Linked DNA regions of Alligator mississippiensis. The protein of the gene in region 2 interacts with the protein of the main gene of each other region in a biochemical or structural test. Links are inferred from orthologs where the notes say so. Each region holds a gene or a part of one and is shown on either strand. Other genes may lie near its edges.

The links.
Region 1: the proteins of TNRC6A (region 2) and AGO2 form a complex in vitro, tested with the Homo sapiens proteins (2 studies listed by BioGRID). The link is inferred for Alligator mississippiensis from reciprocal best matches to the Homo sapiens genes TNRC6A and AGO2.

The regions. Positions count from the first base shown.
Region 1 is NC_081826.1:7,731,155-7,738,486, forward strand, and holds the start of AGO2 (protein argonaute-2), read left to right. Parts: upstream 1-4,313; 5' UTR 4,314-4,410; coding exon 4,411-4,447; intron 4,448-7,332.
Region 2 is NC_081836.1:58,591,894-58,598,747, reverse strand, and holds the start of TNRC6A (trinucleotide repeat-containing gene 6A protein), read right to left. Parts: upstream 3,002-6,854; 5' UTR 2,855-3,001; coding exon 2,850-2,854; intron 2,729-2,849; coding exon 2,681-2,728; intron 1-2,680.

The sequences.
Region 1 (7,332 bases), on a different chromosome or scaffold from region 2:
TGTGGGTGTGCATGTGCTCGCAGACACACACCGATGAGATTTCCTCTCCCTCTTCCTCTTGCCACCTGGCTCTTCAGCTCCATGTCAGAGGTCCTCTCTTGTTTGGCCTTGTAGCGTTCTGGAGCCCTGAAGTTATTTGATCTGTTCCAGCTATAGAAAAACACAAATTTAGTAGTGACCGTAATAAGCAAAAATAGTAACAGGTCTTCATAGTTAAACACATTTTGGGGGCCTGGCCACAGGAGTTACTATTGTCCTTTGTATTTTGATACAAGGCCCTGGCAGCCATGAGGGAGAAGGACGAAGGGGATGCCTCCAGTGGGGACGATGCCACTCCACGCACAACACAGATGGTGCAGAGAGGGAACATCAGGAGAAGGAAACGCCAGGTCCTCGTCATTGGGGACTCCATCCTAAGGGGAGTGGATGGTCCCATCTGCCGACCCAACCCCGTGGCATGAGAGGTCTGCTTCATGCCTGGAGCTCAGATTCAGGACATCAGAGAGAGGACCCCAGCCTACATTCGACCGTCAGACCAGTACCCCATGGTTCTCATCCACGTGGGAACAAATGACGCGGACAGAGGCAACCCAGACTGCATCATGAAGGACTTCGAGGCCCTGGGGGCTAAGCTGAAGGAGATGACACCAAGATTTGGGGTGAGAAGGGAAGAAGGGAAGGACAGGTTCCTCCTTGTCCTTAAGCAGGAGGAACTTGCCCTCCAGATAGCTAGTTCAAACCTGGACATAGCGGGGCTCACAGAAACCTGGTGGGATTCATCCCATGACTGGGCAGTCAACATTAGGGTCTATAGGCTATACAGGTGGGATAGAATGGGGAGGAAAGGCGGGGGTGTGGTGCTCTACGTCGAAGAGCAATACACATCCTCTACCAGCAGGATGGGGTCCGAGGAGGGGCAGGCTGAAGTGCTCTGGGTCAGAATACAGGGGGGTTGTGAGGAAAGGGACTTAATGGTGGGGGTCTACTATGCACCTCCCAACCAAGGGGAAGAGCTGGACCATGAATTCTCGGGCCAGCTTGCGGAGGCACTTAAGGCAAGGGATGTAGTCATCATGGGTGATCTAAATTACACGGACATCTGCTGGGAGGAGCAGTCAGCCAGGTCTGACTGCTCACGGAGGTTCCTGGCCAAGATACAGGACCTCCACTTAACCCAGGAGGTACACAGTCCCACCAGGGGGAATGCCCTCCTGGATCTGGTTCTGGCCACAGGCAATGACCTGGTGAGGGGACTCCAGGTCCTCGACCACCTGGGCGATAGCAATCATCGCTTGCTGGAATTCACCATCCAGCGCAGGATGTCAAGGGCCTGCAGTAAGGCAGTAGCCTTGACTTCAAGAGGGCCAACTTCAATGAGCTAAGGAGATTAGTGAGGGAGGCACTAGGGTCCTGGAGAGTAGGGGAATTGGGTGCCCAAGATGAGTGGTCGTTCCTTAAGGAGATGATACTCAGAGCCCAAGGGGTGACAATCCTAACAAGAAGCAAGGGGCGCAAGAGTGCCCAAAAGCCCCCCTGGCTCACCAAGGGCATTTGTGAATGCCTGATTGCCAAAAAGGAGGCGTACACCCAGTGGAAGGGAGGGGCTATCACCAAAGAGGAGTATACCTCCACCGCTTGGTTCTGTAGGGGGGCTGTTAAGAAAGCTAAGGCAAATACGGAACTAGGGCTAGCATCAAGGATCAAGGACAACGAAAAGTCCTTTTTTAAATACATAGAATGAAGAAGGCCCCGGGTAATGTGGGGCTGCTGCAGGACTAGGCAATCTGGTGGTTGCACCAGAGGAGAAAGCAGACCTGTTTAACAATTTCTTCACCTCTATTTTCTTGTGCAGGGACTGGGACTCCCTTACTGAGATTCAGGATGGACTCAGGAGGGACTCTGACAGGCCTAGGGTCAGGGAAGACCAAGTTAGGGAACTTCTGGAGGGGCTGGACGTGTTCAAATCAGCAGGTCCAGATGCTCTCCACCCCAGGGTGCTGAGGGAATTGGCAGGGGTTATCACGGGGCCCCTGGCACGGCTTTATGAGCACTTGTGGTGCTCTGGCCAGGTGCCGGATGACTGGAAGAGGGCCAATGTGGTCCCCATCTTTAAAAAAAGGAAGAGGGAGGACCCAGGCAACTATAGGCCTGTTAGTCTTACTTCAATCCTGGGGAAGCTTTTTGAGAAGATTATCCAGGAGCACATCCGTGATGGGCCAGCAGTGGGGATGATGTTCAAGGCGAACCAGCATGGGTTCACTAGAGGCAGGTTCTGTCAGACCAACCTGGTTGCCTTCTATGATCAGGTCACAAAATCATTGGACGCAGGTGTCGCCGTGGACATAGTCTTTCTGGACTTCAGGAAGGCCTTTGACACACTCTCCCATCCCATCCTCATTAAACAGCTAGGTGACTGTGGCATTGATGCCTACACAGTCAGATGGGTCGCAAATTGGCTGAGGGGTCATACTCTGAGAGTGGTGGTGGACGGGTCATATTTGACCTGGAGGGAAGTAGGCAGTGGGGTCCCCCAGGGCTCCGTCCTTGGGCCTGCACTGTTCAGTATCTTTATTAGTGACTTGGACGAGGGGGTGAAGAGCAGCCTGTTTAAATTCGCAGACGACACCAAGATTTGGGGTGAGAAGGGAAGAAGGGAAGGACAGATTACAGCAGGACCTGGACAGGTTACAGGGGTGGGCAAATGAAAATAGGATGGGACTCAATACTGACAAGTGCAAGGTGCTGCACTTGGGCAGTGGGAACCAGCAGCAGACCTACAGGCTGGGGAACTCCCTTCTTGCCAGCACAGTGGCAGGAAGAGATCTTGGAGTCATTATTGATTCCAGGATGAACATGGGCTGCCAATGCGAGAACAGTCAGTAGGGCTAACCGTACCTTGTCGTGTATCCACAGATGCATCTCGAGCAGGTCCAAGGAGGTGATCCTCCCCCTCTACGCGACACTGGTCAGGTCCCAGTTGGAGTACTGCGTCCAGTTCTGGGAGCCGCACTTCAGGAGGGATGTGGACAGCATGGAGAGGGTCCAGAGGAGGCCACCCGCATGATCAGGGGGCAGCAGGGCAGGCCCTACAAGGAGAGGCTACGGGGCCTGAACCTGTTCAGCCTCCACAAGAGAAGGCTGAGAGGGATCTGGTGACCATCTATAAACTTACCAGGGGGGACCAGCGGGGTTTTGGAGAGACCTTGTTCCCCTGAGCACCTCCCAGAGTAACAAGGAATAACGGCCATAAGTTGCTAGAGAGTAGATTCAGATTAGACATCCGAAGACGCTAGTTCACTGTCAGGGCGGCTAGGATCTGGAACCAACTGCCAAGGGAAGCGGTGCTGGCTCCTACCCTGGGGGGCTTTAGGAGGAAGCTTGATGTTTACCCGGCTGGGGCCATTTGAGCCCAGTTCTCTCTCCTGCCCAGGGAAGGGGTCAGCCTAGGTCTACAAAGTCTCTTCCAACCCTACATCTATGAGTCTATGATATTGGGTGTTGTATGTATATATTTTATATTTGTTGCTCTGTGTGTGTGTGTGTGTATATGTGCGTGTAATATTTGTTATATATCTATATCTATAGATATATATATTTGTTGTGTGTGTACATGTATAATATATATATATATAAAACGCATCGTTGTGTACGTACATTTCATACGTGTTGTTGCGGCAGTGAAGTTGCTGCAGCAGCCCGGGCCAGCACTACTCCAGTCTTTTGTCCTTTGCTCGTTTGTAACCGAGAGGCCACCTTCACGTTTCCGCACGTACCGCAGAGACGCCCCGGGCCGCGCCCCTGCCCCTGCCCCTGCCCCGGAGAGCGGGGTGCGCGCGGGGCGAGGCGGAGGGGCCGTGGCCGTGGGCGCAGCGCGGTCGCAAGCCCGGGCACGCAGATCCGGCGGCCCCCGCGAGGGGGTTAAGGAGCAGAGGCAGGCCCAGCACACCCCCTGGAGGAGGCGGCGCCGGCTGCTCGCCTGAGCCAGCACGACCTGAGGCAGCGGAGACGGGAAGTGGAGGCGGGAGAGGCCGGGCCGCGAGGAGCGACGTGCCCCGTGTGCGGCTCCACGGCAGCGAGCTCCAGCCCGGGGGGGCCGCCCCCCTTCCCGCTCCCCCCGCCAGTGACAAGGCGGGGCCCCGCGCCCGCCCTCCACGTGGCTCCCACCCGCCCCCTGCGCGCCGGACTGAGGGGCCGTTTCCCGCCGGCGGGGCGGGGCGGGGCTCCACGTGACCAGGCGGCTCCTCCCCTCGTCGGCCCCGCCCCCTCCGCGGCCTCCACGTGACCAGGCGGCTCCTCCCCCTCCGCGGCCCCGCCGACCCGCCCGGCTCCCGGCTCCCGGCTCGGCTCGGCTCGGCTCCGCTGACCCGGACAGAGTGAGGCGCCGCGCCCCGCCGCGCCGCGCACGGAGACATGTACCCGGGAGCCGCCGCCGCCGCCGCCGGGCCGGGTGAGTCCGCCCGCCCGCCCGCCCGGGCCTGGCGGGGCCTCCGCAATGGCCGCGCGCGTGAGGGAGGGAGACAGGGGGGTGGGGGCAGGGCAGGGCAGGGCAGGCCGCCGCCGCCGCCTGAGGGAGGCCCCTGCGGGCCTGGCGGAGCAGGGGGAGGCGTGGGCCGAGCCGGCGGGTCCCCCGCGCTCCGTGGGGGCGGAGCGGGGTCCCGGGCCGGGCGGGGGGGGTGCTCGGCTCCTCCCCGCTGCCGCAGCTGGAGGCGGCTTCGCCCCCTGCCGCCCTCACCGGCTCCTGCGCTGCTGGGGGTGGGCGCAGGGAGGATGGGGGGGCGAGGGCGTCCCTCCTGGGGCAAGGCCCTCCTGCCCTCCCTTCCCGGGCGCAGGGTCCAAGGCGCGCGCCCCTCGGGGCAGAGGTTGCTGCTGCGCGTCTGCCCGCGCTGCGGCGGGGACACGGCTCCTACGCCTCGTATTAAAAAAAAGAAAAAATGCCTGTGAGCTGGGCTGGCGGCGAGCCGGGCAGTGCCACCCCGATGCTGGACGCCAGCGTCGCCACATCTTGGTTAGTGTGTGCTCGCCGCAGTCCGACCTGTGAGACGTTGCAGCCGCCGTATCGACGTCCGTGTCGTTACCTGACTTCTCAAACCCCGTCGCTCGTCTGGCCTCTCGGGCCGTGCCGCTCAGATTGGCGTGGCGTTATCCTTCTGCCATGTTCATCTCTCTCGCTTCACCGGGGTTGTCTGGGTTTCTCGGAGCAACGTAAAAATACATTGATTTCACGAGAGACTACGTTTTGGTTGATACTAAACGTGAAAATTTAGTCTTGGGTTGAGAGAGAGAGAATCTTTAATTAAGGAAGTGTGAACAAGAGGCGTCAGTCAGTCTTAATGTTCATCTCAATGTTTTCCTAATCTCTTCTGGGGGGGAAAAAAAAAGAAGGAAAAGCTTGTTGTGAAGAGGGACTTTAATTTCTGTCGTCTTTTCACAGTGATGTGCTCTTAACTTTATAAGAGTACAGTTATTTGGCAAAGTCTGAAACTACTTTGTCATCTCGTACTCATTTTTCTTGCACCAGTATTGTATGTGGGCTATGGTTTTTATCTATACTGGTTTACAAATTTACCTTGACACAAAAAAGATAAAACATTTGTAGACATCTGCTGACTGAAGCCATTGGACTATAGTGCAGTTTTAAATAAAACGCTGAATACTTTTAGATTAATTAATAATAAAACATGTAGCTAGTTTAATGCCTGAATTTAGTGATAGTTTTACTCTTTTTAGGGTGCCCTGATACCTCCTAAAAAGCCCTTAAAAACAAATTGTAAAACTTACACAATGTATGGGTTGTTTTTCCTCTTGCTTTCTACTTTTCACCTGAGCCTCTTGTTCCCTGTTGGTGATGCGCTGTTTGAAGAGAAGAGTCTGATTTTTATAACAGGCTTTGCTTGCAGAAGAAAAAAGAATGGATGAACTTTATGCTTTTATTACTTCCAAATATGAAAAAATCAGTTTTACCAAGTTCTCTCTTATGAGTCACTGTGTTTCTAGGAGTATAAAAAACTAAGTTATTACCGTTCATTTGCTAGTAACAGAGCTATAATAATGCCTAAAAGGGTTGCTTTTTTCTGCTATTATTTTAATCTATTTGCAGCTTGGTGATATACCTTAGGGGTTCTCATGTTTGCTTTTCAACTCATGTAAATGTCTTCAACAGTTCAAGTTTTTTAGTGTGTTGGTGTGACTGGTCAGAATCTGGTTTTATATCCTAATTCAGATGAGGCGTAGAATCCAGATCATTCAGTTTGCGGTTTGCACTCAGTAGTAGATTAAGGAATGAAAGACAAGCTGTTTGCTGCAGCTATTACTTCAGAAGGTGCTGCTTTGATCCACTGGTCCTGCACAGCGGATCAGAGAAATGATATCTTTTGGAGTAAGAATGACAGCAAAATATTGGAATATCTCTGCAGTCTGTTTTCTTTGCACGGAGTGATAAACATGCATAATGTTGACAAGCTTGAAATATTTAGAGTTGAAAACAGCATGTTGCCCATGCCTCCGCAGCCCCAGAACAAGGCTTCATTTTATTTCAAGGAGAGCTCTTGGTGTCCGTTTTTCGTATAGTATGAGAGACATCTAGTCAACCACAGCACTTACTGGCTGAGGAGTGCACCGGAGCAGTCCATGGCCCCTCACGGTGCAGAGATGGATACCCGATGGCCTTTTTTGTTTAGAATTCGAAGTGATTGAGAATGGAGAAAATGGGTGTCTTTGACTTGAGAGTCAAAGCTTTTACCTGGATGGACTAGCATGGGATGATGATGCTGGTTCTCATCTTCTAATTCTAATAGACAGATTTGCCTGACCTGGAATTAAACTATTTCTTCTGAGAGTGTCAGGATTGTTGAGCTTGCCCCTAAATAGTGTCAACTGTCTTGTCTTTTCATATCCATTGCAGAATTTGCATTGCTTTATCTAAAGAACAAATTGCATTGAGAACTTCAGTAGTGCCAGGTGTAAATGAGGAAGTGACAGATATAATGGCTATTCTGTGTCTCAGTTTGTGTTATGATAGTTTTAAATTTGTTACTATAGTAATATACAGCACTGTTTAAAGTTTATATTGCGAACTTGTTTTTTCCTGTAGTGTATGTGTTAATATTGTCAACACCTGTACTATATTTTTTCAACAGTCTGTATAGCCTTAGGGACAGCTCGAAGTATGAAGTAGTTGCTATAGCGCAAACTCAGCTGACCTGTGTATGCCAGACTTGCTGTTATATTCATGTATGCTTTAGTGCAGCCTTCTTGAATAACAGTGAGAATTCCCTGCACAGAAAAATCTATGACTGGGTGCTAGATAAGATTGCAGTGACAAGGGACCTTAAA
Region 2 (6,854 bases):
CATATGGAGGCCTTAAAGGGAACGCTGCTTTGAAAGACCTGTATATTACCAGGTGCAAAAAGTTCTAGCACTAATAAATAAGGAACCATAAGTATATCTTATTTTAGAAGCTTTGTATACAAGTCTAAAGTACTGATAAGGAAATATTTTAAAGGGCGGTATAGGCAATCCAAAATGTAAGTGCTATTTAAATATACAAATTAACAATTCCTCATTATTTAAAACTGTTGGCTCTTTGTAATACCTCCTTGCAGGCTGTAATTTAATTCAGTTTCTCTATCACTGCTGTTTGGCAAGCACTGATCTTTCACATTTTTCCCCTGTAGAAGGTGCCAGCATGTGCGCCATATCACTAGCATTATCAAAACAAGGTGTCACGCTTCTGAGATATTATTTGTAACGTGGTACCACTTACAGTTTGCAATTAAGATGGGGGCCCATGTTTAACTGAATATTAGCATGTAGTATTTAGCTCCTTAAGATGGAACGTTCTGAAGAGGATGAAGATTGGAAATTAAGATCCTTATCGAGAACTTGAAGTTTCAAATCCCTGGGTTACAGTCATCAGGAATAAACTGCTGATAGTTACAAGTTACTTGGCAACAGGACAAGTGGCCTATTAGTATTAAAAAACTGACAACTATTAACAACAGAATGGCTATTACTGAAATGTTGAGACTTTGAGGGGGGCTGGAGTGGCATCTATGATTTCCTTCCTAATCCGCTCGTTCCGTTGTTCTTCATTCAAAAGCTTCATGCTCCTCTCCCAAGTGCTAGGACCCTGCTCCTCATCCCTCCTGGCTGCTGCCAGCGCCCTCAGAAGAGTGACACGCAGCAGCAGCAGCAGCAGCTTTCCTCCATCGCAGAATCTACTCTTGGCACCAGGACTGCTCCTCCTCCTCCTCTCCGCTCCATGCAGGTATTGTCCCCCCCCACCACCTTCTTGCTTTGTAAGCAGTTCCTGGCACAATCTTACAATTATAAGCTGCATTTTCTTTTCACTTCAAAAGAGATCTTGCTGAAAGTTTTGTGCAATGCCAAGGCAACTGAATTCAAACACTGCAGAGGATGTGGGCAACTACTTGAATTAAAACTTTCCAAAAAGTATTAGGACAATTCTCTTAATGCACTGGTGGACTTTCACATTTTGGTGACTAATTATATTTCAGTGCATCTTCAACCAACACTTTGCTCTTCCAGCCAAACCAGGCGTGTCAGCAAATATTTAACACCATATAGACTGGGTATTCTTTCCATAAAGGGAACGCTTATGTTTTAGTTTATTTACATTCTTTCTAGGCGTACTTTAATTTTGTATACAGACAAATGGTTTTTAAGCTGCGATTAAGAATTGTTCCCTTCAATTTGAAAATGACCCTAAAGTATTTTCTGAAGGATCCTATTACCTTTATTTTCAGGCTTCTATACAAACTGCACCTTAATTCAATTCTATTGTAACCCCACCCCAAATAAAATAGCATTTAACAGTTAAACAAAAGGCCAGCTCTTGAGTATGGTGCTACCAAAAAAAAAAAAGATATACTCAAGGGACAGGAAACTTCAATTTCCAGTGTTGTTATAAAGCTAACTTAAACTTCAAAATAGACTAGACCCCCAAAAAAACAGGACCTGAAAAATACGGTCCTAGCAGCTGCCCTTGAGTTTTTGCCAAGTTTTGAACCAGGCAGTCCTCCCCAACGCAACTCCCTTCATCGTAACTAGCCCTACAGAGGGCATGGAGGAAAACCAAAAGAAGGAAAAACTGAATATAGTGAAAGACAGTGCCAACGTGATAGCAGAGTTGCAGGTATCTGCAAAAACATCGTCCTACTAGGACACCTGGCACGTGCCTTTTCACAAGAGCAATATACACAACCCTGGTGTCGGCGTCTTAGCGTCACATGCTAAGTCATCAATATTGAAACTCCCGTGCCCTCGGCCTCCCAGCACATCTCCAGCACTGGTCACGGGCAGAATCGTGGCCTCGATGCCTGGATACAGAGGATGACGGGTTGCTTCACAGCAGAGAGCTCGTACGAAGCTCGTGGGAAAGGCTGGTTCATCGACGTTAAGGCGGGGTCGACTGGACAAGTTTGGGGGGAGCCGACCTGCAGCGCTGCGTCTTCCCAGGGGCTCCTCCTCGGAGCAGGAACCCCATGCCCCCCCCCCCTTCCCACCAATGATTTGCACACGCGCGTGTGCAGAGCGACTACACAGCCGACCGAGCCCGATCCGTCTAAACCCGGGATTTCTGCCTTCCCTTCTTTTAAACCTTTTTGCAACCGGTGACCTTGCGATTCCAGGCAGACATCGCAGCCGGTCTCCAGGAAAAAAAACCCCCAAAAAGAAACGGGCGACGGACTCGCGCGCGTGTGAATCCGTCTCCACCGACCGCGCGGTCGCTCGTTGCTCCGGCGCGGCGCGACATGACACCACCGCGCGGGAGCGACACACGGCCGCGGGGTCGGCGCCGCCGCACAGCTGCTCGACGACGCCGTCCCTTCGCACTCGGGTGCACGCGTGTCTGTTGCTTTGCACACACACACACGAATACTCCGTGACGGCGCGGTCGGCATCTTGTGTGGACACGCACGCACGCACACACAAATACACACGCACGCACACGCACTCACGCACACGCTCGCCCCCGGGCCCGGGAGCAGGGCGGTTTGTTTCTTACCTGCGTAGTTTTCTCCCCACGTCTTTGGTAGCTTTGGCTTCCAACTCTCTGCAACAGAAAGGCCGGGCGGTTGGTCGGTCGTTACGGCGGGCGGTCGTTACGGCGGTCGGTGTCGGGCCCCCGCCCGCCTGCCTGCCCGCCCCCCTCACCCCGCCGCGCCGCACCTCACCTCATGTAGGTAAAGTGCTCGGAGTCCGGCCCGGGCCCGGCGCTGGCCGCGGCTCCTAGGCGGCCTGGGCCCGGCACGGCGGAGCGGGAGGCCCCGGCAGCTGCTGCTGCAGCGACGCCGCCATTTCCTGCCTCCTCCTAACCTGGCCGGGTCCGGCCCGGCCGCCCCGGAAGAGAAACCCCCGCCCGGGCAGCACTTCCGGGGCGCCTCCCCCTCCCGCCAACATGGCGCCCTGACAACCGCCCTAGCAACCGCCACAGGCCCGCGGGGCAGCGGGACCCCCACAGCCAACATGGCGCCCTGGCAACCGCCCTAGCAACCGCCACAGAGCATGGTGGTCGGGGGCGCCTGGGCCCGAGGTTCACCATTGCACCCCAAAATAGGCGCACGATGCGTGGAGAATGAAAAGCGGCCTTCCCCCGTCATTCATCTGAGCACAGCGCGCCATGAAGCCCCGGGGGTGAAGGCTGCCGGGCACGGTGTCAGCGCTCTCATCCGGCAGCAACTGTTGTACGGGACCGGCCGCTGTTCTGCGGCTCCGTCGATACGAAACCCCACGCCTCGCTGTCCTCTGTTTGTGTCTGGGGCAGAAAAGTTGAGGATGTAAAGCTGCCGGGTTTCGTATCGGACAACGGGCCTGTCCTCGATGACGGCCGCCCAACGTTAGGCAACCATCATGGAGGACAGGCCGGTTTCCTGCTCCTCTCGTGATACGAAACCTGATGCCTTTACATCCCCTGTTTTTCCCTTGAAGACAAAAACAGAAGACATAACGGCGTCGGGTTTCATATCAACAGAGGACCGAGGACAACTGGGCTGTCCTCTGTGGTGGCCGCCCGACGGTAGGGTGGCCATCGTAGACGACAGTCCGGTTTTCTGCTCCTCTGTCCTCTCTTGCTACGAAACCCAATGTGTTTACGTCCTCTCTTCTTTTCAAGAGAGGAAGTAAAGGTGTCCGGTTTCGTATCAAGAGAGGACAACCAGACTCTCCTCCACGACGGCCAACCTAGCTGGCGTGGGCCCGCTGCCTTAGACCGACATGGCGGTAGGGCGGCCGTCAAAGACGACAGGCTGGTTTTCTGCTCCTCTGTCCTCTCTTGAGACAAAACCCGGCGCCATTTTGTCTTGAAGAGAAAAACAGAGGACCTAAAGGCATCGGGTTTCGTCTCAAGAGAGGACAAAGGACAACCGCGCTGTCCTCTACGATGGCCAACCTGGCTTGGGCACGTGCTGGGAGGAAAGGGGCATCGGTCGCTGCCGAGCGGGGAGCGAGGGGCAGGGGCTCCGCGTCAGAGGTTGCAAGGGGGAGAGGAGCAGGGGAAACCATGCTCAGACCGGGTCACTCTCCCCCCAGCCTTCGGTGCAACACGGGCTTCTTGGCATGCTCAGCGAACGCGGGCCTCGGCCCACCGTGAACGTCTAGAAGCCCCCTTAAAGAGGGAGGCCGCTGAGAACGCAACGACGGGTTGCTTAGGACGAATGAAAAAGAAACCAAGAACGGGAACGAGGGTTACGGGTTCAAAACCAGGGATGCGGAGGGGGACACAGAGCAGAGCGCGCCAGCCAGCGCCCACTCGGGGCGCCAACTCCCTTTGAATCTGTTCCAGGAGGTTTCCGTAACGCCGACGGACGTGCCCACGTGTTGGCATCTATCGGCCGTGGGCTACGGCGCGTAGACTTTGCGTCGGGAAGGCAAATGCACATTTCTACGACATTTTCAAAACCCACTGGACTATTGTATACGTCGGATGCAACATTTCATTTTTACTAATGAATTTAACATTTCATGTTTATTAATGAATGCCCTATTATTTATCTCCTGGGTGCCTCTCAGCCGTCTCCTGGGGATTTAGAGACTTCTTGGCAATCCTAGCACCTGCTGCCCCGCTGAACGAGTCGAGGGAGCCGGCGGTGACGTGGGCAGAGGACGGAGAGGACAACAGCACCATCCTCGCCCGGGCACTTCCCGGCCAGCCTCCTTCCTCATCTTGCAGATGACCAGCGTGGCCAGAGCCAGGAGGAGGTTGACCGAGAGATCCCGCGGCTTGGTGGGACCATGCATGGGGAGTACATAAAAGGAAAGGTGTGGGGGGAAACGCAGCCAGACTCTCAGCCGGAGCTGCGTGACACAGGTCTATCTGTTGCTTTACCACGGGACACTGCCCATTAAGAAACGCTATGAGCCTCCCTTGAAAAGGAAGGCCGCTATGAATTGCTTGGGACGATGAAAAACACACCAGGGACGGGAGCGGAGGTCAAAGGTGCACCAGGAGGGGACACCGACTGGGCACGATGCACCTCTGGTCTGACCCAGTAAATGGCCGTTCTTATGATCTTAATGACTTGACATAAAGGAAGCTAGGCCTGGGTTTTAAGGGGTATAATGGGATGAAGAGACCTTGCAAACAGTAGCGTCGAGACAGAGCTCGTCTGACAGCAAACCGGCCGTCCGGGGGGGTGCAGCCACAAAGCAGACTTGCAGTTCTCAAGGCAGCAGCCCACGAACTTGGTGAATCTTCTTGACAAGGTTCAGAAAGAAACCAAACCTCTACTATTGGTTTCAGTTCTGACAACACTTTACTAGAAAGGAAGCGCACAAAAACAGCTGGTGGTCTAAAGGCGCTAACTTTTGAGAGAAAAAAAAATATGAATAATGAAACGAATCAGTGTCCGCATGGGGGCACCTACCTCTAACCAAAGCATTCATTCAACACAAAAAAAGAGGATTTATTTAGTCTAAAGCAAGAAGCGTAACTAGGCTTCACAAGAGTAAACAAACAAATGAATAATTAAAGCCTTGGAAAGACCAGGGGATTTGTGTCTGTTTGGAACAACCTCTCTAGGATAAGACGCAGAAGTCCAAAACCGTAGGACTCTTAAATGTAGATCGTGCAAGCAGTAGAAAACATTACGCTGTAGGAAGCAAAAGGGCTTTAGCCGGGGATGGACCAGACATCCAAACGGACCGTTTCTGCCTCCAGTGGATATGGCTTTATTTTGAGGCATCAGATTAGCATCCAAGCCAGGTGTTGCACGCTACGGACTATACAAGAACTGTCTCCTAGAAACTTCCCCTCGTATTCATGATTTCTCTCTCACACCCCCCCCCCCACACCACCCCATTCCTCCCCACCCACTCACAGCTAGATACTACCCCTGCAGCAACTTCAGCAATTGCTTACATGGTCCGTTAGGATGAGGAGAGCAGTTAGTATAGTTTTAACTGTTGTGGAAGTGCAATTTATGAAGTTTTAAACGTGGAGGAATGTTAATACGGTGCCAGAGGCAGCACCAATCAGCTTATTACAGATCACACGTTTCAAACCACCAATCTAGGATATGCAAAGCAATGAGTGAAAAAGCAAGCGAATCAGGTCCAAAGTGAAGAATTTTCTTATTGGCATATGGGTATTCACATCAATTTTTCATTGGCCAAGTAAGGTATTCAGAGACTCTGATGATGGGGACCATATGTCTTACTAGGCAGGTAGGAATTACCCGTGACATATCCTGCAATGAACATGCTTCTCCATTTAAATTGGGTCCTACAATTCCTTGTTTTGGAAAAGCATCATTTGCTAAACACCGGGCCAAAAGAACCTTAAATAATCCACTGGAAAATATTATCCTAGGCAAACAATGACATCTTGCTGTGTTTGCAGCCCAAAATATTGGCACAGTGAGAATCTGAAAGTGGAAGTAAAGAACAAAACAAAGAAATAATGGCAAGAATTTGACATTATGATTTAACACGTATATTTTACTACTGTGGTGCCCAGAGGCCCCATGTGCAAACACCCCCAAGCAAACCCTCCCTTCCCCTACCAGATTATACTTGTGGGCTCAGAGCTACACGTTCGTTTGCACGAGAAGACTCCGCATGGATGGGCCTGTGCGGAGGAGCTCATACGCTGGATGCCCAAGGAAACAGGTGATACATGACTGCTGAGAGAAAGGGATGCAATCCAAGTATATACAGCTCAATTAAAATATCATTATAAATAG